Macaca fascicularis: one gene and its partners. The protein of the gene in region 2 interacts with the protein of the main gene of each other region in a pairwise test. Links are inferred from orthologs where the notes say so. Each region holds a gene or a part of one and is shown on either strand. Other genes may lie near its edges.

Region 1 (6,264 bases), on a different chromosome or scaffold from region 2:
AATGTGCAGCCAAAGTTAAGAATGACTGCTCTGGAGTCTAACTAGCTCAACACCTGGCACAGTGGATCCCTTTATAGTAGCAAACAGGTTCCTATAAAATAGCTTTCTGGGCTCCCTGACATAAATCCAAGACTGCTGATTTTGAATATCAAAATGCAGTAAAGTTAAGTTTTCCTCATGTCTTTAACCAGATTTCTGTGCACAAACTTGCCTGTACAATGCTTTCTGCAATTGGGTAGGTAATCAAAAAATGGGAGCAACAGTGAAGAATTTGTATCCAGACAGCCTGTTCATATGTTGACATCCCCTCAATACTGAGTGGAAGGATAACTAACTGATGGATCTAGAGCTTCTAAACCCATAAAATGAGGATTTCACCAGTTACAGACATTCTGAGAGAAAAGTCCTGGGAAGGGATGAAAAGAGTGTGCATTTATGTATGAGAAGTTAAAATTGTCAAAAGCACAACATCTGGTGGGCAAACACACTGCTCATGACATGATAATAACTAGGAGAAAAAAAAAAATCCCAGTATGTCTGTTTATGTCTTATGGCACTTAGGATAAAGCAATACTAATAAGTACACAATGCTGTTAAATATGTAAAACAGAAAGACAAATGTGTGGTACTTACTAAGGCACTGTTGAAATGCTTAGTTATTTCCCTCCCATAATGAGGAAGCTTTCCTGAATTTTCCACAGTACACCTCAAAAATGAGTTGAAGATATATGGAAATAAGACAGTCCATTTTCCACTTAAGTGAACTTTCATTCTCCACTTGGTCATCTTCAGTGTCTACTCTACATTAGTTATTTTATAGAATACTTGACACATTCAAGGTCTGCTAAATGATAATAGTTATTCTTCTTCCACCACCGTTTCAACATATCCACAGCGGTCAAAAGTGTGTCCTATCATCTGCTTAATTCCATGAAAAAGAAATCCAGGGGCTGGGGTGTTTGAAGAGAATAATATCTAAATATGTGTGCAAAGTGGCTACTGTTAAAATGAAATTTTCAAAAGCATTTTCTGTATGAACTGGTCAAGCTCACTTTCCTTTTAAAATTCTTGCTATAGTCATTGAGTTAACCCAAACTCACTTTTAAAATGTGTGAAAATAGCACCTCCTGAAAGTGTGTTCTCATATGCTTTGGAGCAATGGAGCGTGAATACTAAAGCAGCCTTTGCCAAACTCATGTAACAGCTCAAGAACTAAACAGGAGTGAATTTTTGCAGTCCCATGACTTTGCAGAGCCAACCTAAGTATCATCCCAGGACTAGCTTTAATATATCAAAGACATCCAAGAGAAGGCAGAAAAGTCACAAATAAGTGACTCAAGCTAATAAATATTTCATAGATTTTTTTACATGGCAGTCTTTTCAAAATCAATTTTACTTCTTAACCAAAAAAATTAATTGGCTAAATAAAGGTGTGGACTTAGGATTTAAGCTTCTAGAATTAACACTATGAAATTTATAAAGATATTTGTTTGACAAAGTGTTCTCCTGGATGCTCTTTCATGCACTTCTCATGAACCAATGCCCAAAGATTAACCAAGTCTAAAAGAAAATGCACAGACCACAGAAGAGTCATACAAAATTAAGACATTTAAAGAATAAAAGCCAAATAAAACAAACAGTACAAATGCACAATTTCCAGGACACTTTATTGTAATTTCCACTTTACATATTAATATTTTAGTCTAGGCAGAAGTGTTTATACTTATACAATAGTAGTCCAATCCTCTAATCTCACAAAATGAAGCAGTTTTAAAAGAACATCAATTAAGGTATTTATGATATGGGGGACAAGCGGCACTTTTAGCTGGAAAAGGGGGTGATGCCTTTCAGTACGAGTTTCACTGAAATTTTTCCTGTATTATTTTTCTTGTTGATGCTAAGTACTCAAATAAAAGCAATTGCACTTTTTCTCATTCTGCCCTCTCTTGGTCTTTACATTCTGTCTAGCATTTAACTCAAAAAGTCAGTTTACATTCAGTTTACACATTAAAAAAAAAAACCATATGCCCCATCTCCCACACATGCAAATGGACAGGGATTAGAATTAACCTGGCTTTTAGCTGTAACAGTGCTATTTAAAAATTTTCAACCACACACTTGAAGGGTAAGATAATTTAAGGTACAAAACCAAAGGAAACCATAACAATTCCTACACATTTACTATTTAACTGTTCTCAAATCATCGAGTATAACATGGATTTCTTAAAAAGTGAAATCGACACAAAAGCGAATGCACGCTTAATGTACAAACTGACAGTGGCTCTGTGGGGACAGTTCTCTTTGAATGAGCTATTATCCAGACAGTGGAATGAAAAAAAAAAAAAAAAAAAAAAAAGGTCTCACTCTTCAAATGTGAGGAAGCCGGCAGTGCGCTCGCTTCACGAGAAACACATTTTAATGGGTGTATTTGGATAAAAATAAGTAGTAAGGGAAAATGTGTTTTAAGAAACCTCCCCCCTTCCCAGGGCACAAGGAAACCCAGAGGAAAAGATGGGTAACCTCACAAGCTCCAGAGCTAAGTTCCATCACTAACAGAAGTTGGATACTTGCTATTTTTCGCCCTGCAATGGGATAGTAGTTCTCCATGTGCAAGGTACGCGGGGCGGGAATACTGGCGGGGCTTTCACTTGGGGTAACGGAAACCAAAGTGAGGAGAGGTCAACACCTTGAGTAACCCAGATCTCCAAAACCGGGGCAGGGTGAGGGGTGGTAGGGGTGGTGAAGAAGACAAGTAAAGGGGTCAAAACTCCTCGAAGTCATCGCAAAGAGAAAGCTAACACCTCTAGGAGCCACGGGGCCATCCCTTGCAGCAGCACCCTGCTCCAAGTGTGGGGTGCCTGCCTCGGAGGGCAAAAAGCGCAGGGTGCCCTTAGTTCAGTTGAGTGGCTCCGGGGACCCGGGCAGCGAGAGGGCAGGGGCATCCGCCGGCCGGGAGGCGGACTCGCACTTTGCCTCAACTCTGAGCCCCATCCCGAGCGCAAGGGAGAGGGCGGCGGAGGGCACGGTACTCACTAGGGCTCGTTGGTGAATCGGGGGGTCCGGGGCTGCTGGTATCCGTACAGGTGACAGTAGAGCACATCGAAGCAAAAGCAGCACATCTCTGCTGACACCACCATCTTCCGGGAGCCCGGCGATGAGGACGAGGCGGCGGACGATGAGGAGGGTGAGGAAGAGGTGGCGGCGGCCGGGGTAGAAAGTAGGGTCCCCACTCCGCAGCTCGGAGGTGGCGACAGGGCGATCCCCCCGCCGCCGCCGCCGCAGCCCTGGGGGGGAGAGAGGGTACAGCCGCTGCCGCTACCTCCTCCGGTTAGACCTCCCAGCCCGTTGAGCCGCGTACCGGCGCCTCCTAGTCCCAGCTCCCCAGCTCGGCACTGGCTCTCTCCGCTGCAGTGGGAGGAGGAGGAGGCGCCACCACCGCCACCCGAGCCAGAGGGGGGCGAACTGGACAGTTTCTGCTTCTTCACCCCGCAGCAACCCGCCGCCATCTTGGAACAGTCTCCCCCACGCAGCGTTTCCGACCCATAAGTGAGGCGAGCTGGCGGCGGGGGCGAGCACGCTGCGGCCCAGGCCGCCGGGGGCGCGCCAGAGGCTGGCGGGGCGCGCGCGCGCCGTTCCCGGCCCCGTCTGCCTAGCCACGCGGCTGCCCCGCGCGCGCCCCCGCCTCGGTGCGCGCTCCTCGCTTTCGCGGCTGGGCGCCTCGCGCCTGTCCCGCCGGACTCGTGCCTCTTCTGAGCCGCAGCCCCAGCCCCAGCCCGAATCTCAATCTCTGCGGCCGGCAGAGGATGGAAGCCAGGAAGCCGATTAGAAAGGAAGGTGAAGGAAACAAGAGTCAGATAGTGGAAAGTGGGAGCTAAGGGAAGAGGTGGGCACGCCCGGGAAGGAAGGAGGGAAAGGGAAACTAGTGGGGGCAGGGGGGAAGAAAGGAGAAAGTCCGAAGTAAGCATCCAGGTCCCAAAGCACAGCTCAGTGACCCCCGCTGCAAGTAGTATTAATGACACTTAAGCCCAGTTACGTGGAACCTGAGCCACCCGGCCTCAAATACACGGGTTTCTGAACTGTTGGAGTGTGAGCGAGCAGGTGCCTGAAGCTCCATACCTGAGACCGCCCCTGTTAAGTATGTACAAAGCAGTCGGGGAAATGGCCACGCTGCTCTTTTTAATTCCAGCCTAAGCACACACCAGGGTACTCTTTCCTTTCCTTATGGAGAAATATTCAAGTCCGATTGAATCGATGTATCTTGTACTTGTTCCCCCAACTTACCCTCCTAGCCGTTTGTAAACATTAAAAAGCCAAAAATAAAGTCCTAACTAATACTTCACTGGTTCAAAGATATTAATTGTGCTTTGGGACTTGCAGTGGTGGACTTTTCTGGTTTTGGTTTTTATTTCTTGGCTTGGGTAAAAAGCAATTAGGAATATTATCTGTAGTGCTCAGATCTTAGAGATAAATAGGGAAGGTAATGTACTTAGTCACAAATTGAAAGATTTTGTTTAAGTATATAATTAGCTCTTAATATTCACTTTAAAAATTTCTCAATTAAATGCTTGGATGGATGAGGAGGCATATGAGTCAGTCCCTTTCTAGGTGCCTAAGTGTAGCTTAATAATAAAAATAATGACAATAAATGTTAAAATTTGTAGAAATGAACCTGATAGAAAGCGTAAGTTATTTGCATTGTATCTACACCATGCTAGAACATCTAGATAAAGTCAGGTATCTGCATATTTTAAAACTGCAGATTGATTTTTGTCACCTCTTATCTACATGCGTGGGATCTTGCAGATAGCTGGGGGCTGTTCATTCCACTCAGGGAATAAAAACAAAACAATTTATTCATTCAGTAATATTGAGCCTCTGCACCATACTATGTGCACAACACTATACTTCTGTTGAAATCCAGGGCGTGCGCAGGAAGTATGCCTCCCACTCTCAAAGAGTTTATGAATTAAGTCAGATACATGCACATAATCAGATAAATAGCTATTATAGTATGTACTGAATGTTTTTTAGGTGCCCAGTACCATACCTCGTCCTACCCCATAATCCTTCAGAATAAGATATTATCTCATTTTATCTTCACAACAATGCTCTGAGGTTACTCATTAACAGATGAGGCTATTAAACCTCAGAAGTAATTTGCCCAAGATCACACACCTAGAAAGTAACAGAGCTAGGATTGGAATGCCGGCATGTCTGATTCCAAAAACCATGCCATTATACTATATTGCCTCTCACTAACAATATATGATAATAAGGCTACTGATGGACAAAAGATAGTGACATTACACTCCAGCAGGTGCAACTGAGGTTAAACAGAAATAATAACTTAGCTTTTATGGAAAGATTGAGAGACACTGAAATATGTTACCAAGGAAAGATGAAAAAATCTCCTTCCAAAAAGATTTTGTGAGATAGACAAATGAAAGTCTGGAATGGTTAGGTGCAGCCAAAAGACAAAAGAGATAGTTTAATTGGTCAGTGATATATAATTTCATCCTCTCAAACTTCATCACTGTTAGAATTAACCTTATGTTTGAAACAAATAACAATTCTTTGTCAACTACTAGTGGAGCAAAAAAAAAAATGCATTAATATTTTGTCTATGTTACAGAAGAGAAAGCAGATTGGTTTTTTTAAAAAAGCACCACAACAACTGGTACGTTACGGTATTTTGTAGGTTAGGGTGTTTTGTACTTTGTCCTTAACTATCACAGCCCACCTTTTAATTTTTTTGAAACTAGATTGAACATAATATCAGACAATAGGTATCAATTTACTCCCCATCCCACTAAAGTGATCATTTCTAGAGTAAAAAACCAGAGCCATTTAATGACATCACAAAACAGTTTAGCACAGGAAGCAAAGTAGGATATCATGGATGGCTGCTTCTGCTAGGGGAATTTAGGAAAGCAGAATGTAATCTCCCAATTTAGAATTTGGCCAGTAGACAAGAGTCTAACGCCCCTACTCTTGTGAAAAATAGCAAGGAATCTTTAATAAGCACCAGTAGTCATGTCCTTAGTTCTGCATTTCATCTAAAAGACAAAGCACTATCATGGCTATCCTGCCAGGCTAAGGGACTGATGCAATGGGAAAACCCAAAGACAAGGACACCCCAGCTGAATTACAAAAATAGCTTTTCCCTAGAGGATTTTCAATTCCAATTCCAAACCTCACTAGCATAAAGAAAATAGACAAATACAAATGTGATAATTGCAGAAAAGACATCATTACCTGACCACT
Region 2 (5,592 bases):
TAGCTGAGCAGGATATTGATTACCAAATATGGTATTGCTGCTAAAGATGTTAGAGGAATGTGGCTTGTATTCTAAGCCTCCGGCCTCTGAATAAGCTGCCAAACAAATTAGGTCATTTTAACTTCTGAGCTTTTTTTTTTTTAAATAAGGATGCTGGAACTTTGATTTGGAACATGATGTTGATGTTATTTTAGTTCAAATGGAGGGGGTATGAAGAAGGGGGCAGGGAGTAGGGGAGACTTAGTTCAGCATGTTTTAGGACTCAAGCCACCAGCCCAGGTTGTGTAAGAGGCAAACACATTATGTGGAGCTTCAGTTGATTCTGGAACCACCAGAGAAAGAACCGAGGCATAGAATTCACATGTACAGCCTCATTTTCTGAGGCCAGATGCTCTAGACTACGACCAGGTCCCAGGATACTCTTCATGTTATCCCCAGTGGCCTGGGCCACAGGACTTATCTTAATGTGAGCTCAGGTTTAGGAAAGTTGCTTCTTCACAGGAAGGTTGGTCAGGTTTAGTGCCAGGGAGGACGTCCTGAAGTTGATGGCAAGTTGCTACTATGTGTGTCTGATGGAGTGTGATGCGATTGAGCAAGTCCTTCCACAGCATACCTGTACTTGAAACCCAGGGACTGTGCTTGTCTCCCAGCAGAGACCACAGTTCTTACCTCCATTCTTGGAAATATTTATTCTGTTGTAGTATTAGCTTTGTTAGGGTTGAAGTTGGTCCACCTCAGTGAGGTCCTTTGTGACCTCACCTCAGCCTGCTTCACAATGCAGCTTTGCTTTTTGTTTTTGTTTTTCCTTATGTACTTTTTGGGCAAAATAGTATTGAGGTTTCCCAAATTTAAAAAACAACAAAACAACACAACACCAGTTAAAGAAAATGTTCTTATGTTTCCCAGAATGGGCACTATCTGTTCACTTTTCGGTGTTGATTAGGTATGCACAAGGGTATCCTCCACATCCCTTTTGCTACTGCCCTCAATTGGTTTCTTCTCAGAATGAGTGAGTCATGCTCGGGAAGAAATTCCACCCACTCCAAGACTTCTGGGTCAGGGCTCTGTGGCTTTTGTTAGGCCTCCCTAAGGACCTCTCTTTCCTTCCCCTTCACCCCTTATTTCCTGTTAATGCCATTACTATCCAGCCACAGGCTCTTCCTTGTATCCTTGAAGCTGAGCCTGTGAAGTTTGAAGTTCTGAGTTGTTCATCCTGGTCTCTAAAGTAAGAGAGTCTTATTTTTGTGGATATTTCTTTTTCTTTCTTTTTTTTTGAGACAGAGTCTAGCTCTGTCACCCAGGCTAGCGTGCAATGGCGCGATCTTGGTTTACTGCAACCTCTGCCTCACGGGCTCAAGCCATTCTGTCTCAGCATTCCAAGTAACTGGGATTACAGGCACATGCCGCCACGCCCAGCTAATTTTTTTTTTATATTTTAGTAGAGACAGGGTTTCACCATGTTGCCCAGGCTGGTGTTGAACTCCCGAACTAAGGCAATCCACTCGCCTTGGCCTCCCAAAGTGCTAGGATGACGGGAATGAGCTAGGGCATGAGCCACAGCACCCTGCCTGCTCTTATTTTTTTTCAAGCTCATTAGGAAGAACGGTGGCGAGGGGACGGGGGATGCTTTGGAGCCCTCAGGCCCATGTGTATACATTCAGAACACTAAATGGCAACTGTGGTCTTTGGAGACTCATTTTCAGGACTCCAGTCCCTTTCCAGACCCCACCATGAAAACATGGGAACTGAGTGGGTCCCATGGGTGCATATTTAAAATGCACTCTCTTGGGATAGCTTTTTGACATGTAGGGTCCAGAATTCATGGTATTGGATGCTTAATAATGAAGACATTCTTGAATGGTGGAAGGATTCCAAATAGACTTGTCTTGCCCTAACTTGTCTTTCATAGTGTCTGTGATTTATTTTACTGAATATAATCTGTTTTAGGTAAACTGCAGGAATAGGGTCAAAGGTAACTGAAATTACTATACATTAAAGTGTATAACTGTGCTAGGAATTTCCTGGTTCAAATTTTAAACTGGAAAGTTTTTGTCTAAAAAGAAAAGGAATAGTTGAAAATCTGTGTAACTACATTTTTTAAGTAAATTAAATACCACTGACTTTCAGGACACTTTGTGTTGTCATTTTTCCTGTAACCTGTGTAAGTAGTAAGAATGACAGTGGTTGCTGACCTTTTTTCCTGATAGACCAGGGTTTACTGGTGTGTTTATTTTGTCACCATTCCGGTTTGACTCTAAGGAAATGAAAACATCTTCCATTTGTTCTCTGTTTCCAAAGGGCATCCGCTTCGATCCTGAAATTCCGCAAACACTACGACTAGAGTTTGCTAAGGCAAACACGAAGATGGCCAAGAACAAACTCGTAGGGACTCCAAACCCCAGTACTCCTCTGCCCAACACTGTACCTCAGTTCATTGCCAGAGAGCCATGTAAGTCGATCTACTTTTCATTTAAAAATAATAATAACTAAGAACCGTTCGTGTGCTGCATGTGAGGTTACACCACGGGACATGGAGCTGGCTGAGTCTTATTTTCCATTTCTGTGAAGAGGTTGCCTAGGCGTTCTTGGTGTCAGAATTCCAAATACAGCAATCTTGTTTGCAATAGGCTGTCCCAAAAGATGGTTCAGCTTGAACAGAATCATAACTTCAGAATTTCATTTGATGTACTACAGATTTCCTTAATGTGACATTGACCATTGTGAGTATGCCCCTAGTTGCCTTGGGTATAAACCCTTTATTTCTCCATGCTCAGACATGAGAGCTGGTTCTCAGCATTCACTTTAATCCATTTGTTGAAGGACATCAGCTCGGTGGCTTTGGAAAAATAGGATATTAAAAGTGAAAGAAGCAGATCTTAGGAAGTTGGTTCTATTCAGTTTAGCCATAACTCTAGGGGGAAAAGTAAACACACACAAAGAATTTATATATTGGAACAGTCAGTCTAGCAAACTAATACCAGCAAAACTTTAAGGAAATTTGGGGCTTCCTGTTTCAACTTAATTGGATAAGGACACTGGCTGATTGCTCAAGACATCTTCTACCCCACATTAATAAGCTTATTTCATTATTTCTGCCTTTCATTGAATAACTTTAAAAGATTGAATTTTCTTTCTCAAGCTCAGTCAGTGGCAGAAATGGGGCATGAGACAGGCCTTAACTTTTCCTTTCATTACAGAGCCATACGTGATTTAATATGGCAGGGCATTCAAGGAAACCCAAATGACTTGGATTCCAAGTTATTTGGAATATTTCTGTCCTGTCATTTTTGGTCTGCTTTCGAAACCACACGATTGTGATCTTCTTCCTTTGATAATACATTTTTAACTCTTCTTATTGAAATTGAAGGACACATGGATTCCTTGCTCCCCCCATGTCACATGCATGTCAGATTTAATCAGGTTATCTTTGGAAGTCACAGCCATTCTGTAGCTCAGTCACTCTTGCTTGCTACTCATCAGTAGAAACTAATAGATAAGTCTTCCAGAATGTTCTAAAATAAATGTTTCTATGAATCCAGAAAGTCATAATAGATGAAAAAATTATTTTGTTCTTTCACCTTCTTTGTCCCAGGGAAACTAGAAAACTTTGCTTACTTATTTGGGAAGGAAATCTAAACAAAAGTTACATCTTACAGTGTACTTGTAATACAGCAGAATATAGGAACATCCTTTACATAATTCTTCATCCTTAGAGTATCTAGCTTAATACTTTGTATATTGTATGTATTTAATATTTATTATAGTGAGTGGATAAATTGATACTGAAATTGGGCTACTTGTAGAACTACAGATGGATTTCTATGCCTCTTCTCTCTGAAATTTCTTCTCTCTTGATCAAGGCATCAAAAAAGAGTATTTTTAGGATGCCTGAATTTGTAAAAATAACCTAAAGTAATTCTTTGCCTTTTTAGTGAATTTGCCAACCTCAGATCTCAGAGTTCTTTGAAAAGATTAATTCAGACAGGAAACGTAATGCTGGTGATACTTAACTTTACATCCTCAATTCTTTGCTGAATGCTCTTTTTAACAGGCCCACAAAACTTTTTGTGAATTTCCTACAACAGCCCTGTGACATAGGTAGCCAGGAAGGTTGTAGCCAGGTCACAACATGCTATACAAAAGCAACAAATAGGAACAAACTGAACATTCACAAGTCCCTGAAGTTACAGGACAGCATAGTAACCGAGCTTAGAACTCTTTTCTGGCAAGCTCTACTCATCTCCCTTCCCAGCATACAGAACAGTACAAAAATGGCCAGATAGTTTCCATGACAGGGTAAAAACTTGCTCAGCTGTTGACAGCAACACAAATTTGAAGTTTAAATAAATAAATAAATAAATAAATAAATAAATAAATAAATCCAAGCAGCCAGCAGTGTATTCTTGAGGAAAATAAAAGTCAGCATGATTTATCTTAATATAGCTCATTTTTACGACACAACGTCTTGATAAGAGCAAGTCCACTGTGGCTCAGGTCAACTTTATTATCCATCGCCATTCCCTCTGGGAACTGGGAACTTGCCCGTCAGATAAACTTGCTTACCTGGAAGCACACCGCAAGACTAAGAACACTGTGTTGGGTTTACACGGACAAGCCCAGTTGCATTGTACTCAGAATTGGGTACTCAAGGTGGTCGGTTTAACTAATCAGGTGTAGACTATAATGGAATTGCAGAATTTGGGGATTGGAAAGGCCCTGAAGGCTAATCTTTGTTGTAGGCCATAGAGGTTTTTTGTAAATGTTTCTTTTTGTTAATTTTTTATATGGTAGTGGCTGAAAAGCACTCGTTGCCATCGCTAAAAGAAGAATGTTCTGTGGTTTGATTATACAACAAACATGTACTTGAACTCTGAATTCTCCATATATCTGAACTTAATGAACTTAAACGAGCACCCAGTGTGCTGGACTCTGGAGAAGAAGGAAATTGGTTGCTGCCTTTAAAGAGCTGTCATTCTGAGGAGTTGATGATAGTCAAAGTTGTCAGAAAAACTTGGTCTCATATGAAGGACATAAAACAGATTCTGCAGCTTGGTTGAGATTGCCCCCAATCAGACTCCATATTTGCTGAGCACCTACTGCATTTGTGCCAGGGATGAAGAGTGAGAAAACCAGGTGTTGCAACTTAACCTGGGTAGATGGTGGCCTGCTGTGGAGAACTTTGGCTTCAGGCCAGAAGATGTCAGTGAGAATCCCGTCAATAATTTTGCCAATTATTGACAAGCTTTGTGACCTTTAAGAAAAAAATTTTTTTTAACTTAGTAGTGCTCCTATTCTCTAAGCTATAAAATAAGAATAATACTTTCTGATTGTTAGGAGAGGTAAATAAAACAATATCCTAGGATTGAGCTGAGGATTAAATAGGTATAGTGTATTTAGAGTACTAGGCAAATGTAAAGTACAATCATAATTTGTTAATAAAAAGGATTGGGTTGCCTTTCTTTCCTAATAGTTACAGCAGGTATTGATCTGAGTTGTCATCACAGTTTGAGTATAGCCAATTGTCTTTGCAAGTTAGGAGAAAGGATGAGTGAAATTGTCATACAATTTCAAGAAAGTAGTATGTCTACCTGC
Region 3 (6,056 bases), on a different chromosome or scaffold from region 2:
CCAGCTACTTGGGAGGCTGAAACAGGAGATTCGCTTGAACCCAGGAGGTGGAAGTTGCAGTGTGCCGAGATCGCGCCACTGCACTCCAGCCTGGTGACAGAGCAAGACTCCGTCTCAAAACAAAACAACAACAAAAACAACAAAAACAGTTTCACTTCAAACCCTGGATTTCTGGTCTTTCTTGAAAAATAGGGTGATCCGGCCACCCAGTGGCTGTTATACCTCGAACATCTGGTGCGTGCCTTGTATGGCAGGGACCCTCGTTGGGTAGCAGGAAGCGCAGGCCCAGCGGATGGAGACCCCAAAGCTCAGAGAGGGCTTCCGGCTTAGCAGAGGTCACACAGCACTGTGACCGCCATCTGATCCCTTCCCTGTGGAATCAGGTCAGCCCCAGGGCTCACCAGGCGGTCTCTAACCCTTCACATCGAGGGACCCGAACAAAAGCTCTGGGGCCTGCGTGGAAAGCCGACTCTAGCGCCTTCGACCGTCAGTGTCTCAGTTTGCCCATCTTGAGAATGGGTACGACAGTCGGACAACAAGAAAGATGAAGCTTGAGGAGGCATGTATGGTCTTTAGCACACAGGGAGCACCCAAAAAGGTTGGATATTTGCAATAGCAACAACAAAATTGAGATTCCCCTTTCTACTTGGAGGGAATCCAGGATCCTTCCAGGAACATTTCTGGGGTGGGCACACTTCAGTTTGGAGAGGGCCCCAAGGCCAAACGGGGGTTTGAGCGTAGCCTGACTTCCTCCAGATTCCCAGGCCCGGCGTGCCCCTCCAGAGTAGGGCAGGTGAAAATCTGTATCCTTAAACCTTAAACCAGGAGAGAGACCTGGTGCAAACCTCAGCCTTGCCACTTCCTCAACGCTACGGACATCCCCGAGGAAATAACCTCTCTGGGCTTAAGTTTCTTCTTCTTTTTTTTTTTTTTTGTTTTTTTTCGGACACCGAGTCTCTCTCTGTTACCCAGGCTGGAGTGTGGTGGTTCGATTTCTGCTCACTGCAACCTCCGCCTCCCGGGTTCAAGCAAGTTTCCTGCCTCAGCCACCCAAGTAGCTGGGATTACAGGCGTCTGCCACCACACCCGGCTAATTTTGTATTTTTAGTAGAGACGGGGTTTCGCCATGTTGGCCAGGCTGGTCTCGAACTCCTGACCTCAAGTGATCCACCCGCCTCAGCCTCCCAAAGTGCTGGGGTTACAGGCGTGAGCCACCGGTGGCACCCGGCCTGGGATTAAATTTCTTTAAGTGTAAAAGGACTAAATAGTTCCTTCCCCTTAGATACCACAGCATGGCAAGCTCTTCAGAAACGCCAGGAGATTTCTGAAAGAAGCACCTGGGAGAATCTGACTGATGCTGGGAACCCTTTCTCCAAAACTGGGCAAAGAGAGATGACCAGGCTGCAAAATGTTTGTTTTGGGGGTTGGGGGGACGGCGAGTCTGTGCCCTAACTCCAATTGTCTTTTATCCAAGGGGGGACTTGGGGGGATTGGGTAGGAGGGAGGGGCTCTGAAGCCACACAGCTGAGTCTTTGGGCAAATTATTTAACTTATTTTGTGCCTCAGTTTTGTCCTCCACAGAATGCAGCTGTTTAAAAAAAATGAATTCCCTATTTGTCAAGTATTAGGTCAGAGTCTAGCATACATTATTTTCCCAATCTCCCCTCCAGGCCTCAGCCTTGCCATCTGCGCAGAAGAAATGGGGTGGGGGGCTCACCTTCTCGGGACGCAGGGACCCTCGGCCCCCCAGCTCACCTGTGATACTGAGCTTGCAGTAGCTGAAATTCGTCTTTGATGCGGTCGCAGGAGTCCGAGGTGGTGAATTTGAGTTGCTGGGGTAGGTGCGAAGAGCCCTGTGGGGAAGGGGCGGCCCGGGTCAGGCCCTGGCTTGGGCTGGACCCCCCTCGAGGGCCAGCCGGGAGGGAGCGGCCGCGCAGCTGCGGCGCCCCCCCTCCTGCCCCACTTCCTGGGCCCGTGTTTACGGCCCCTGGCGCGGCCCCCACCCGCGCTTCCTGCCCCCCGCCTCTCCCGGGGGAAGCCGAGAGGGTGGGTGCGCCCGGAGCCGCCCCGACCCCCGCCACCTCCAAGCAGTGGGGGTGCGTTTTAAGGCCTGCCCTAGATGGGGGGCAGGGTGCGCCCTCTACCGCCCCTCCAAAGCGCCGGGAGGGAGTGCACATCCGAGGGGGGTGGATACGCACCCTAGGGAGCCCCCTCCCCAAGTTGGGGGGCAGCGAGTCCTCCCAGCAAAGCCCTCTTGGGGGAGGGGTCTCTCGGCGCCCGAAATCTTCCCGGGGGGCCCACCCCAGATTCCCAGCGCCCTTCCTCGGGGACGCGCTCTTCCGGGAGGGGTGCGCCTCGGATCGCCCCCCCACCACAGGCCCCCAAAGGATCCCCGCGCTAGAGGTGCCTGGCGGGGCTCCCGGAGCGCCCCAGGCCCGAGGCCAAGGCCGTCCGAGGCCCTGCCTGTCCCGGCGAGGGGGGGGGGCGCCAAGCCGGGAGCTGGGACGGGGGGGCTCGGGGCCCGGAAGCTGGGGTGGATCGGGAACTGGGGGGTGTCCGGGGGCCGGCGGCAGGAGGGGGGTCGCGCCGGGCTTGGAGCTGGAGAGGGAAGACAGGGCCGGGGAGTTGGGGGGGGTGCCGGGCCGGAGGCACCGGGCCTGGGGGTGGGGGGCGCGGGGCCGGGAGCCGGGGGTGGGGAGCGCAGGGCCGGGATCCGGGGTGGGGGCGCCTGCCGGACGGACCCCGCTTACCGAATGCCTGCTTTGTGGAAACATCATGTCAGTCGCGGCAGGGGGCGCGGGCTGCGCCCCGGCTGTGCGCCCCGGCTCGGGCTGCTGGGGGCGCCGGGCGGCCGCGCCTTTGTCCCGGCGCCGATCGGCAGCTCCCGGGGCCGCCGCCGCCTCCCGCGCCGGGCCTCGCCCGCTTCCTGCGCCCCCTCCCCGCGCGCCCGGCCCCGGCGCGCCCCGGGCCCCGCTTCCTGCGCGCCCGGCGCCCCTCCCCGCCCCTCCCCGCCGCCCGCCTCCCCGCTCCCCGGCCCCACCGCTATTGTCTAATGGCGGCGACGCCGGCAGTGGCCGCGGCTCGGCTGATGCAGAGGCTCCGGCTCCACCTGCCGCCGCCGCCCGTGCCCCGTGCGCGCCGCCGAGGGGGGGGAGGCGCGCGCCCGGGGAGGCCTGCGGATCCCCACCCCGGCCCGCCTCCCCAGGGCCCGCCCGCCGCGGTGACCTTGGGCCCCGCCCGCCCCCGCCCCGGGCCGCGGCCCCCGCCACCCCCCCCAACCCGGCAGCAGGCCGGGCCTCGGTTTCCCCATCTGTCAAAGAAAAGGGACCCGGCTGCCCGCGTCGAAGCCGCCAGCCCTGCCGTGGCACGACCTGGACGCGTGCCACGGACGTGCTCTGTGACCTTGGCTCTGGCTGGGCGGTGGTTCTCGCTGAGCCTCAGTTTCCTTTTCTGCAGAAAGGCAGCGGTAATGCCGCCTTTCTCAGGGAAGCCATTCTTGCGACACATTTATAGAACGCCTACTGTGTGCCAGGGCCTGCTGCTCCAGGGCCCTGTGGTGGGGGCGGGGGTGGGGGGTCCCTGCTCTGGTGGTGGTGCCTGGAGACAGACAGAGACAAATTAACAAGCTGAATTCCCAGCAGGTCAGATGGTGGGGACGGTTCTGCAGAAAAACCAGCCGGGAGGATGGCAGGGTAGGAAGATGCAAAGTTAAACAGGTGGCAGGGAGGATCAGAGAGAGCTTCCTCCGCCCCTAAAACGACCCAAAGAAGGAGAGAGAACAGGGGGATGGGGTACAGAGGTACTCAGAGGCAGGACCAGCAGGTGTAAAGGCCCTGGGGCAGGACTGTGCCTGGCATCAGGGTGCCAGGGCGGAGGTCAGGAAGGCCGGAGGGAGGCAGGGCCTGGGGCTTCATGCATTTGCCCAGGCCCCCCCACTCCTCAGCAGGGCTTGTGCTTGGGTTAATATTTAGTGCTGCATTTTGAGATTCCTAATCATTTTTGAACAAGGGGCCTTTCAGTTTTCTTTTGCACTGGGCCCTGCTAACTCTGTAGCTGGTGAAGCAGGCCAGTCCAGCAAGGACTTGTGGGCCATGGGGAGGACTTGGGTTTTTGGGTGAGTGAAGTGGGAGCCCTGGAAGGCTGTGGGAGGAGGAGGGATGGGACCTGGTGGTTTGTTTTTTGTTTGCTTTTGAGACGGAGTTTCACTCTTGTTGCCCAGGCTGGAATGCAATGGCACGATCCCAGCTCGCTACATCCTCTGCCTCCCGTGTTCAAGTGATTCTCCTGCCTCAGCCTCCCGAGTAGCTGGGATTACAGGCACGTGCTACCACGCCCGGCTAATTTTGTATTTTTAGTAGAGACGAGAGTTCTCCATGTCGGTCAGGCTGGTCTTGAACTCCCGACCTCAGGTGATCCACCTGCCTCGGCCTCCCAAAGTGCTGGGATTACAGGCGTGAGCCACCTTGCCCAGCTGTTTGTTTTTGAGATGGAGTCTCACTCTGTTGCCCAGGCTGGAATGCAGTGACGTGATCTTGCCTCACTGCAACCTCCGCCTCCCGGGTTCAAGTGATTCTCCTGCCTCAACCTCTCGTGTAGCTGGGATTACAGGTGCGTACCACCATGCCTGGCTAATTTTTGTATGTTTAGTAGAGATGGGTTTCACTATATTGGCCAGGCTGATCTTGAAATCCTGACGTTGGGTGATCCTCCCGCCTCTACCTCCCAGAGTGCAGGGATTACAAGTGTGAGCCACCGCACCTGGCTTTAGACTTGTGCTTTTGCTCTGAGTGAGGTGGGAATCCTGGAGAGCCGTGGGAAGAGGAGGAATGGGACCTGGTGGCGGTTATGAAAGTATCCCTCTTTCTGCCATTCAGAGAACGGGCCCCAAAGAGGCCATTGAAATAGGCTGTTCCTTTAAGGTCCTCCTTTGGCAGGTGCTGAGCACACAGTCTTTTCATCATCGTCATCCACTAAGCAGCCTGCTCCCTTGGATGAATGCAACTGATTTGGGCCTTGGGTGTTCCCATCTGTAAAATGGACCCGGAACCCCAGCCTCCTTACCTTGGCAAGTAAGGGTGAGAGCCCTCAGTGTTCAAGATTAATAATCTTTAAAGCAGTGTTTTAATATTTTTATTAAATTTTTTTTTTTTTTTGAGACAGCGTCTCACTTTGTGGCCCAGGCTGGAGTCCAGTGGCTCCACCTGGACTCATTACAAGCTCCGCCTCCCGGGTTCACGCCATTCTCCTGCCTCAGCCTCCTGAGCAGCTGGAACTACAGGCATGAGCCACCACTCCTGGCCTAAAAAATTTTTTTAGACACAGTCTTCTGTTGCACAGGTTGGAGTGCAGTGGTGCAATCAGCTCTCTGTAGCCTCCCACTCCTGGGTTCAAGTGATCCTCCCACCTCAGCCTCCTGAGTAGCTGGGACTACAGGAGTGCACCAGCATGCCCAGGTAATTTTAAAATTTTTTGTAGGCCAGGAGCCGTGGCTCATGCCTGTAATCCCAGCACTTTGGGAAGCTGAGGCCGGTGGATTACAAGGTCAGGAGTTCGAAACCAGCCTGGCCAACATGGTGAAACCCCGTCTCTACCACAATTACAAAAATTACTAGCGTGTTTTGGCGTGCACCTCTAACTTCAGCTACTTGGAGGCTGAGGCATGAGAATCACTGGAAGCTGGGAGGTGGAGGTTGCAGTGAGCCAAGATCGTGCCACTGTACTCCAGCCTGAGTGACAAGAGTGAGACTCTGTCTCAAAAAACAAAAACAAAAAAACCCAAAAAGATTAGGATTAGGAAAGAAAAACTCGGCCGGGCGCGGTGGCTCACGCCTGTAATCCCTGCACTTTGGGAGGCCGAGGTGGGCGGATCACGAGGTCAGGAGATCGAGACCATCCTGGCTAACACGGTGAAACCCCGTCTCTGCTAAAATACAAAAAAAATTAGCCGGGCGCGGTGGCGGGCGCCTGTAGTCCCAGCTACTCGGGAGGCTGAGGCAGGAGAATGGCGCGAACCCGGGAGGCGGAGCTTGCAGTGAGCCGAGATGGTGCCACTGCAC
Region 4 (6,369 bases), on a different chromosome or scaffold from region 2:
CTCTTCAAGAACTCCTCAAGAGCCTTCCCAGACCTTCCCCGAGCAGTCTCAGCTCCCCTACCCAGACCCTGGAGCCCGGGGAGTGCGCACCTGGACTCTGGACTCCGGCAGGTTGATCTTGAGCGCCACCTCCTCCCGCATGAAGATGTCAGGGTAGCGAGTCTTGGCGAAGAGCGCCTCGAGCACGTCCAGCTGTGAACGCGTGAAGGTGGTGCGCTCCCGCCGCTGCTTCCGTGGAGTGGCTGCGGGGACACGCGGGGGCGCCGCGGGTCATTGGTGGCCACGCGGACCAGCGATAGAGCACTCGGGCAGGCCCCTGGCAGGCCCAGAGCTCGGCCTTCGCAAGAGAAAGCCGAACTGGGAATAAAAGACACTCCCTCGGGCGGCCGAGCCTGAGAGGCCACAGGTGGGAGAAAGTGCAGATGTGCGACTAGAAGCCAGTGTCTCCAAGATTCAAGGGCTGCCCCTCTCTATGCCTCTCAGAGGTTAAAAAAAAGTAAGAGAAGTCTACAATCTCCCTTCTTCCACATTCCCCCTCCCCTGCGCGCGCGCGCGCGCGCGCACACACACACACACACACACACACACACACACAATCTCTCTCTCTCTCTCTCTCTCTCTCTCTCTCTCTGGCTAGGGGACAGGGAGTGGGGAAGAGGTAGGCAGAAACACGACCTGAAAAACACTTTCGGAGAAAATAAATGGGGTAAAGGAGCCGGAGCTAAAGAACCCCGGGTTTGGCTCAGGTCGTCCTCTACAGCAGTGCAAAAACGGATGCAGGACATCAATTTAGAGGACAATTTAATTAGGAAGGAAGAATACTCCTTCAGTCCAGCCTGCCGCTTCGCATAAGGAAAGTTTGGCTCTTTCTGTCAGGGCCTAACGAGTGTCCAGATTACTCATTCCATGTTGGGGGAAAAGGAAAAACACTAGCCGCCCCTGGGTAGCGAATCCGCAGGTAAATGAGCTCTGCGCTGGTGGTGGGACCACAACAGGAGAAAGGTTGCCGGTGACCCGGCCAGGAAGGCGCACATTGCGCGTTTTCTCAGCCCTGGCCACCTCACATGCCCACGACTCTGCCCCGTGCGCCAGCAGTGGGCCCTGTATTGTAAACAGGCAGTGGGCCCTGTATTGCAATAGCTGACTCCCTGGGCCTGCTCGGCAACAAAGCTTGCACTCAAACCCAACAGTCTGGGGGGCCCCAACATTGGAGAGGCTGAAGCAGGGTCGGGAGGGCTGGTGCTCACCCGGATAGCCCACGGATGGGTGCAGGAGGTCCATGGCGGGCCCAGCCAGGCCCAGCCCGTTCATGCCGTATGGGGGTTGTTTGAGGTAAGACATCATGCTAACAGCTGGGTGGAGGCGCCCCGACGGATCCAGGGGACCTGGGGCCAGAAGCGGTGCAGGGCTCCCACCGCAGTCCTTCAGGGTCTGATGCGTCTGGGGGCCTGGCCTATGAAGACACGAGACACACGGAAACCATCAATCGGAGCCACTTGGCTGCCAAGTCTTGCCCCGGGATAGACAGGGAAGGCAGGTTACAGAACTGCGCAGGGTGGTCAACTGGAATCCACAAGGCCTTAGCCCAGAAACCACAGTTGCTTTGAAAAGTAAAGTTTTCTGGGTCGTCTGGCTCCAGCGTTGGAATGAGCCAAAGACACTGGTAGGGAGTCCATAGGAGTAAGGAGAAGTCAAAGCCAGGCCAGGCTGGGGAGGTCAGAGCAAGAACCGCGGAGTGTGCAAGCTCCCAAGTCCAGGCAAAATTCTGAATCCGGCAGAAGCCAGCTTCATGTTGCACAAGCAAACGTTCACTTGGTGCCCGGACGGCAGGCCTCCCGGAGCATGAGGGGTTGTTTCATTTTGTTTCACGTGTTTTTGAAAAGGTAGAGACTACAAAGGGCCAAGGTGAGGCAATGTGGAGGGCTAACCGCACCTCAACCTCTTGTCCACTTAGGACACTTGGTTCCTTCAAAGGTCTCCAGGGCTGCGCCCCTGCCCCAGAGCCCGCAATCACCATTCCAGCTGACCTCTCTGTGCCCAGCCACTGAAAGATCGCTGACGCGAAATCCCACCACACCTCAACCGCAGTAACCGGCCCAGGCCTCGCAGAGGGCCAGGGGACGCCGAAGAGGCCACTGTAGAGGGGGGCGACCCCAAGACGCGGCCTGAGGTCGGGAGCGTCTCAGCTGCGGCCAGCGTCCTTCGTTGCCAGCGCGCACCCGGCCTTCTCTGTCCAGTCTGTGCTGCGGACCACAGGGTCCCAGCAGGGGGTGAAGGGTGACTGACCTAGCACCTCAAAGGGTCTCGGGGATTTGCAAAGCCGGAGGGCAGCAAGTCCCGTGCTGTCATCCTTGTAGCTGAACCCGCGGCCCCAGGACACGGTCGAGAACAGAGAAGTAGGCCTCAGCGGCATAGCCCACGCAGACCCGAGCTGGGAGGTGGAAGCCTCGCCCCCGCCGCTGCCGGGAACCCGGGGCGGCACTCTCAGGGGTCAGGGAGGGGCGCTGGAAACTGGGCCTGGGGCTCTGGGGGGCCATTGCTACACCCCGCTTAGCGGGATCGCTGTGAAGCAGGCCAGGGACTCGGGCTAGGACGTTCAGGGAGAGAAGTTAGAGCTAAAGAAGCTCCCCCCTGCCCCGTTCCCACCCCGGTCTTCTGGGATCCAAGACCTGGGCTGAGGGAGTCCAGCTTGTAGGAAGGGGACGAGAAGAGAAGCAGCCAGGGCTCTAGGGCCGAAGAAAAATGGGACTCAAAGCTGCGACGGCTTTGCGAAGCTGCAGCGTGAGTTTTCAAAGACTTTCTCCAAACTTAGCACTTCAGCTTGGTTACTTCGGAGGAGGCGGGGGAGGGAGCGGCGGGCCGCGACAGCGCCCCGGGGTCCTCGGCTCACCAAGAGGGGAGCTAGGCCGCTCCCCCAGCCCCGCCCACCTGCTGGTGACCGGGGAAGTGGGGATCCATTTGAGGAGGGGGAGGTAAGGGTAACCAACGCGCTCCCGGAGTCCGGGATGGTCCCGCGGCTTTCTCCTTACCTGCCCTCAGCTGCCGGGGACGTTCACCATCTACCTGGATCTCTCACAGAGACCCGCCGGGCAGCCAACCTGCAAAACAGAGCGGCACAGGAATTACCCCGGCGGCTGGTCTAGGACCCCGGGTTTCTTTCTTTTCCCAACTTCCTTCCTCCCACCTCTATCTTTTTTTTTCAGTGGCTTTGTGCGTGTCCCTCTGGGTTTCACTTTATTGCACAGACACTTTGTTTGCTAAGCCCCACACGTTCTCAGGCAGGACATTGCCTCGCCCGGAATCGCGCCGAGGGGCCGCAAGGGGGGGAATTCGAGGGCAGAGTTGGGAGGTGGCTCGGCGTTACCGCGGCACTCCCGGTGCAACGTGGAGGCAGTGGGGACTGGGAAGTCCTGCAGAGTCACTTTGCAAACTAAATAAATCAAGCGATTTACCTTGTCGGAGTGGCTTGTCTTGCTCGGTTGTTTAGGTGATTGGAAATGTAGCCTGATGAAGATTGATCACCTTTCTACTGCCCTCCCCGGGTATGTGAACGCGAGGCGAGTGCGTAACGGGGCTAGGCCGCCAATCGGGGGCCCCGCGCGGGCTGAGTGACAGGGAGCCGGGCAATGGCAGCGCGAGCCGGGGGTTACCTCCGCGCGCCCCCGCCCTCCCCCGCCCCCCACACCCCGCCCTCCCCTCCCGCCCGCCCCGCCCCGGTCGCGCGCTAACTCCGGGACTCGGCTGGCAAAAGCGGCTCAGAGCTAGGCGAGGAAGGCGAGCGGAGAGCCCGAGTCCTGGCCGCGGAGGGGGCCGCGGGTCTCCAGGCCTTCCCTGGGCGCCCCCGCCCTTCTCTCGCGCTCTCGGCGCTCCGGAGGGAGTGGCAGAGACGAGGAGAGGTGCTGGAGAACCGGTTCCTTCGCTCTCCTGCGCGCCACCGGGCTCAGCCGCCCGGGTGTGGGCGCCAGGACCCGGGGGCGGCGGGCTGGAGGAGCCCGGGCCTCGGCCCCTCTCCTGGCGCCGCGGGCCCCAGCGTTTTCTTCCTCTGCACCGCCACCTGAGACCGACGCCGCGGGCGGCTCGTGCCGGCGCAGGCTACTTTGCAGAGCGCGGGAGCAGCTCCGGGCGTGCAGATCTCTCCTCGGCGCCTCGGGACTCTCGCGCCTGGGAAGAGCACCCACTGGGAGGGCACAGCCACTTACCTGCTCATCGGCATCTCCCGGGGTTCCCGGTCCCCACCAAGGGTGTTTGCAAGCCTTAAGCGCTTCTTCTGAAACGTTGGAGCCCAGCGTCCTCTTGCCCTCACATGTACACCCTACTTCTTAATTCAAACATTTTGATAGGAAAGTTTCTTTTTCATTCTTTCTCTCTCTTTCCTAGTCTGCCTCTAACAGGGACTTTTTGATGGAAAATGTGGCCACAGACCCCTGCCCTCAACTTTTTTCCACATGCTGCGTAAGGAGCCTCCTTGAGGCGATTTCCCCGGATTGTTCGTACGGGCGAAGCCCATTTCCCAGTGGAACAAACTTCCCAAACACGTCTGCCTGGGTGGACTTTTAAAAGTGCAAAAAAGAGTTTTCGTTCCAACTCTGAGCTAGGAGAATCTTTTAAATGGCACCTCCTTCTGAAAATTAGGCACTTTATTCCCTTTCGAGGAATTTCTACCCCTTGTTTCTAATCTCCCCACTCCCCCACCCCGACAGGCGGGGTAAAAAGTTTGCACAGGAGTAAGTGTGAGGGCGAGTCAAGGAGCCTCCAGGCGCATCGCAGTGGGGAGCACCCGTGCTGCCCAGGCTGCGGGGTCGGGCGCGGAGAGCAGACAGGGCGCTGGGTGAGGAGGAGGAGAAGGAAGGGGGAGCCCGCTGAGTGAAAAGGGGCCGCGGCCGCCGCTCATCAAAGTGCTTCCCCCTCCCCCAAGCGACACTTTCCTTTGGAGTCCGAATAAAATACGGTAACAGAATATGATGGAGGGCACACTGTTTCCTTAACTGCTTCTCAAAGGACCCGGGAGATCTTCTTAGGACCTTTAATAAGGCTTTGGTCGGTTCTTTTGTTGATCTCTCAAAATCAACTCCTTCTAATTGAAGTTGGAGCTGAAAGCGAGCTAATGTTCAAAGAAAGTGGCCGCCAGACCAACGAAATTACATTTTTTTTTTTTTTTTTTTTGGACGATGAGGGAACATCTAATCAAAGGGGCAGGGGAGGAGGGGTGGGAGTTGGGGCGTACGAAGGAGAAAAGGAGGTTTTACAAGATCCTTCTCTGGTTCACAAAAGTCAGCGACACGGGCGCTTCTCTCCAGAACAAAGACACCGCGGCCCATTCACAAAAGGGAGAGAAAGCTGAATAAAGAACGAGAGAAATGGGAAAAAATTAGAGAGAGAAGGAGGGAGAGAGTGAGTGAGAAAGAAGCTTTAAGAGGAAAAGAAACAGCGCAGAGCGCAGCGCTAACCCAGGCGGGCACACACCTTAGGCTCGCGCAGGCCCCTACCAGGAGTAGCCCACGAGGCCCGCGGTCAGCCACCCGCGGCTCGGAGCCACTGTGATCGTGCTGAGGTTTAAAGAAAGCAACGAAATATACCCTCGCCTTAGGTTCCGAGGAAAGGCGCAGGCTAGAGCGCACTAGTTTTGGGGAAAAGAACATGCGGACGTCCCGGGGTGCGCATCGTCGGCGTCTGCGTCCATAGCCCGGCGCTGCCCCAGTCCGGGCCAGTCCGCTGTGTGCAGGGGTTGGCCCTCCAGTGCGGGGGCGGGTGCCCTTCCCCATTCCTCCACCTTACGCATTCCTCCCTCCACCAGGCCCTGTTTCGCCTGCAGCCTCAGCACCTGACCTGGTCCCGCGCGGCGAGGTGGGACGGCAGTGCGCGCTGGAATGTGCCCGCGCGGTCCCCGGGGCACGCCTCGCGGGAGTCCGGCGCTCTCGGTTCCAGATGCTGCCACCATTCTCGGGGAAGTTGGGAGGTATCAAGTAGCACGGATTTTTTTTTTTTTTTTTCCTAATGAGAGTATTTATCTAATCCCAAATTGCAGGCGAATTTTCTTAACGCTCAGCCCATAAAACCCCAGGATTAAGAAAAGAAAGAGAGAGGAGAGGGGGAGAGGGAGGAGAGTGGAGAGGGAGAGAGACTGGGATGAAAGTTTCTTGAAAACGGCGCAGAGGATTGAGGTGGCCGTCGCTAGGCAAATGTCCAGGTGGGAGACGCTGGGCCAGAAGCCATGACCGTTCCAGCATCGGCCGCGGTGCGGGAAGGGGAAGTGGGGACACCACTGGAGGAGGTGAAGCCGTCCAGCTTAAGGCCCCCGGGCCGGGAAGGAGCGAGGGAGCTGGGTCTGGAAACGCGGATCCAGCATCCAGGTGACCTCCAGGCCGGGCC

What was found.
Region 1: the proteins of RBPMS (region 2) and AMMECR1 interact in binary tests that used the Homo sapiens proteins (3 or more experiments, as listed by UniProt). The two-hybrid records come from large-scale screens. The link is inferred for Macaca fascicularis from reciprocal best matches to the Homo sapiens genes RBPMS and AMMECR1.
Region 3: the proteins of RBPMS (region 2) and TLE5 interact in binary tests that used the Homo sapiens proteins (3 or more experiments, as listed by UniProt). The two-hybrid records come from large-scale screens. The link is inferred for Macaca fascicularis from reciprocal best matches to the Homo sapiens genes RBPMS and TLE5.
Region 4: the proteins of RBPMS (region 2) and OTX1 interact in binary tests that used the Homo sapiens proteins (3 or more experiments, as listed by UniProt). The two-hybrid records come from large-scale screens. The link is inferred for Macaca fascicularis from reciprocal best matches to the Homo sapiens genes RBPMS and OTX1.

What each region holds. Positions count from the first base shown.
Region 1 is NC_088395.1:116,900,033-116,906,296, forward strand, and holds the start of AMMECR1 (nuclear protein AMMECR1), read right to left. Parts: upstream 3,521-6,264; 5' UTR 3,507-3,520; coding exon 3,034-3,506; intron 1-3,033.
Region 2 is NC_088382.1:33,702,498-33,708,089, forward strand, and holds part of RBPMS (RNA-binding protein with multiple splicing), read left to right. Parts: intron 1-2,298; coding exon 2,299-2,449; intron 2,450-5,592.
Region 3 is NC_088393.1:3,762,340-3,768,395, forward strand, and holds the start of TLE5 (TLE family member 5), read right to left. Parts: upstream 3,521-6,056; 5' UTR 3,508-3,520; coding exon 3,280-3,507; intron 3,141-3,279; exon of another isoform or gene 2,778-3,140; coding exon of another isoform or gene 2,751-2,777; intron 2,471-2,750; exon of another isoform or gene 2,199-2,470; intron 1,854-2,198; coding exon 1,756-1,853; intron 1-1,755. UniProt on the Homo sapiens protein: Transcriptional corepressor. Acts as a dominant repressor towards other family members. Inhibits NF-kappa-B-regulated gene expression. May be required for the initiation and maintenance of the differentiated state.
Region 4 is NC_088387.1:58,900,398-58,906,766, forward strand, and holds the start of OTX1 (homeobox protein OTX1), read right to left. Parts: upstream 3,521-6,369; 5' UTR 3,453-3,520; intron 3,099-3,452; 5' UTR 3,030-3,098; intron 1,454-3,029; 5' UTR 1,345-1,453; coding exon 1,248-1,344; intron 243-1,247; coding exon 91-242; intron 1-90. UniProt on the Homo sapiens protein: Probably plays a role in the development of the brain and the sense organs. Can bind to the BCD target sequence (BTS): 5'-TCTAATCCC-3'.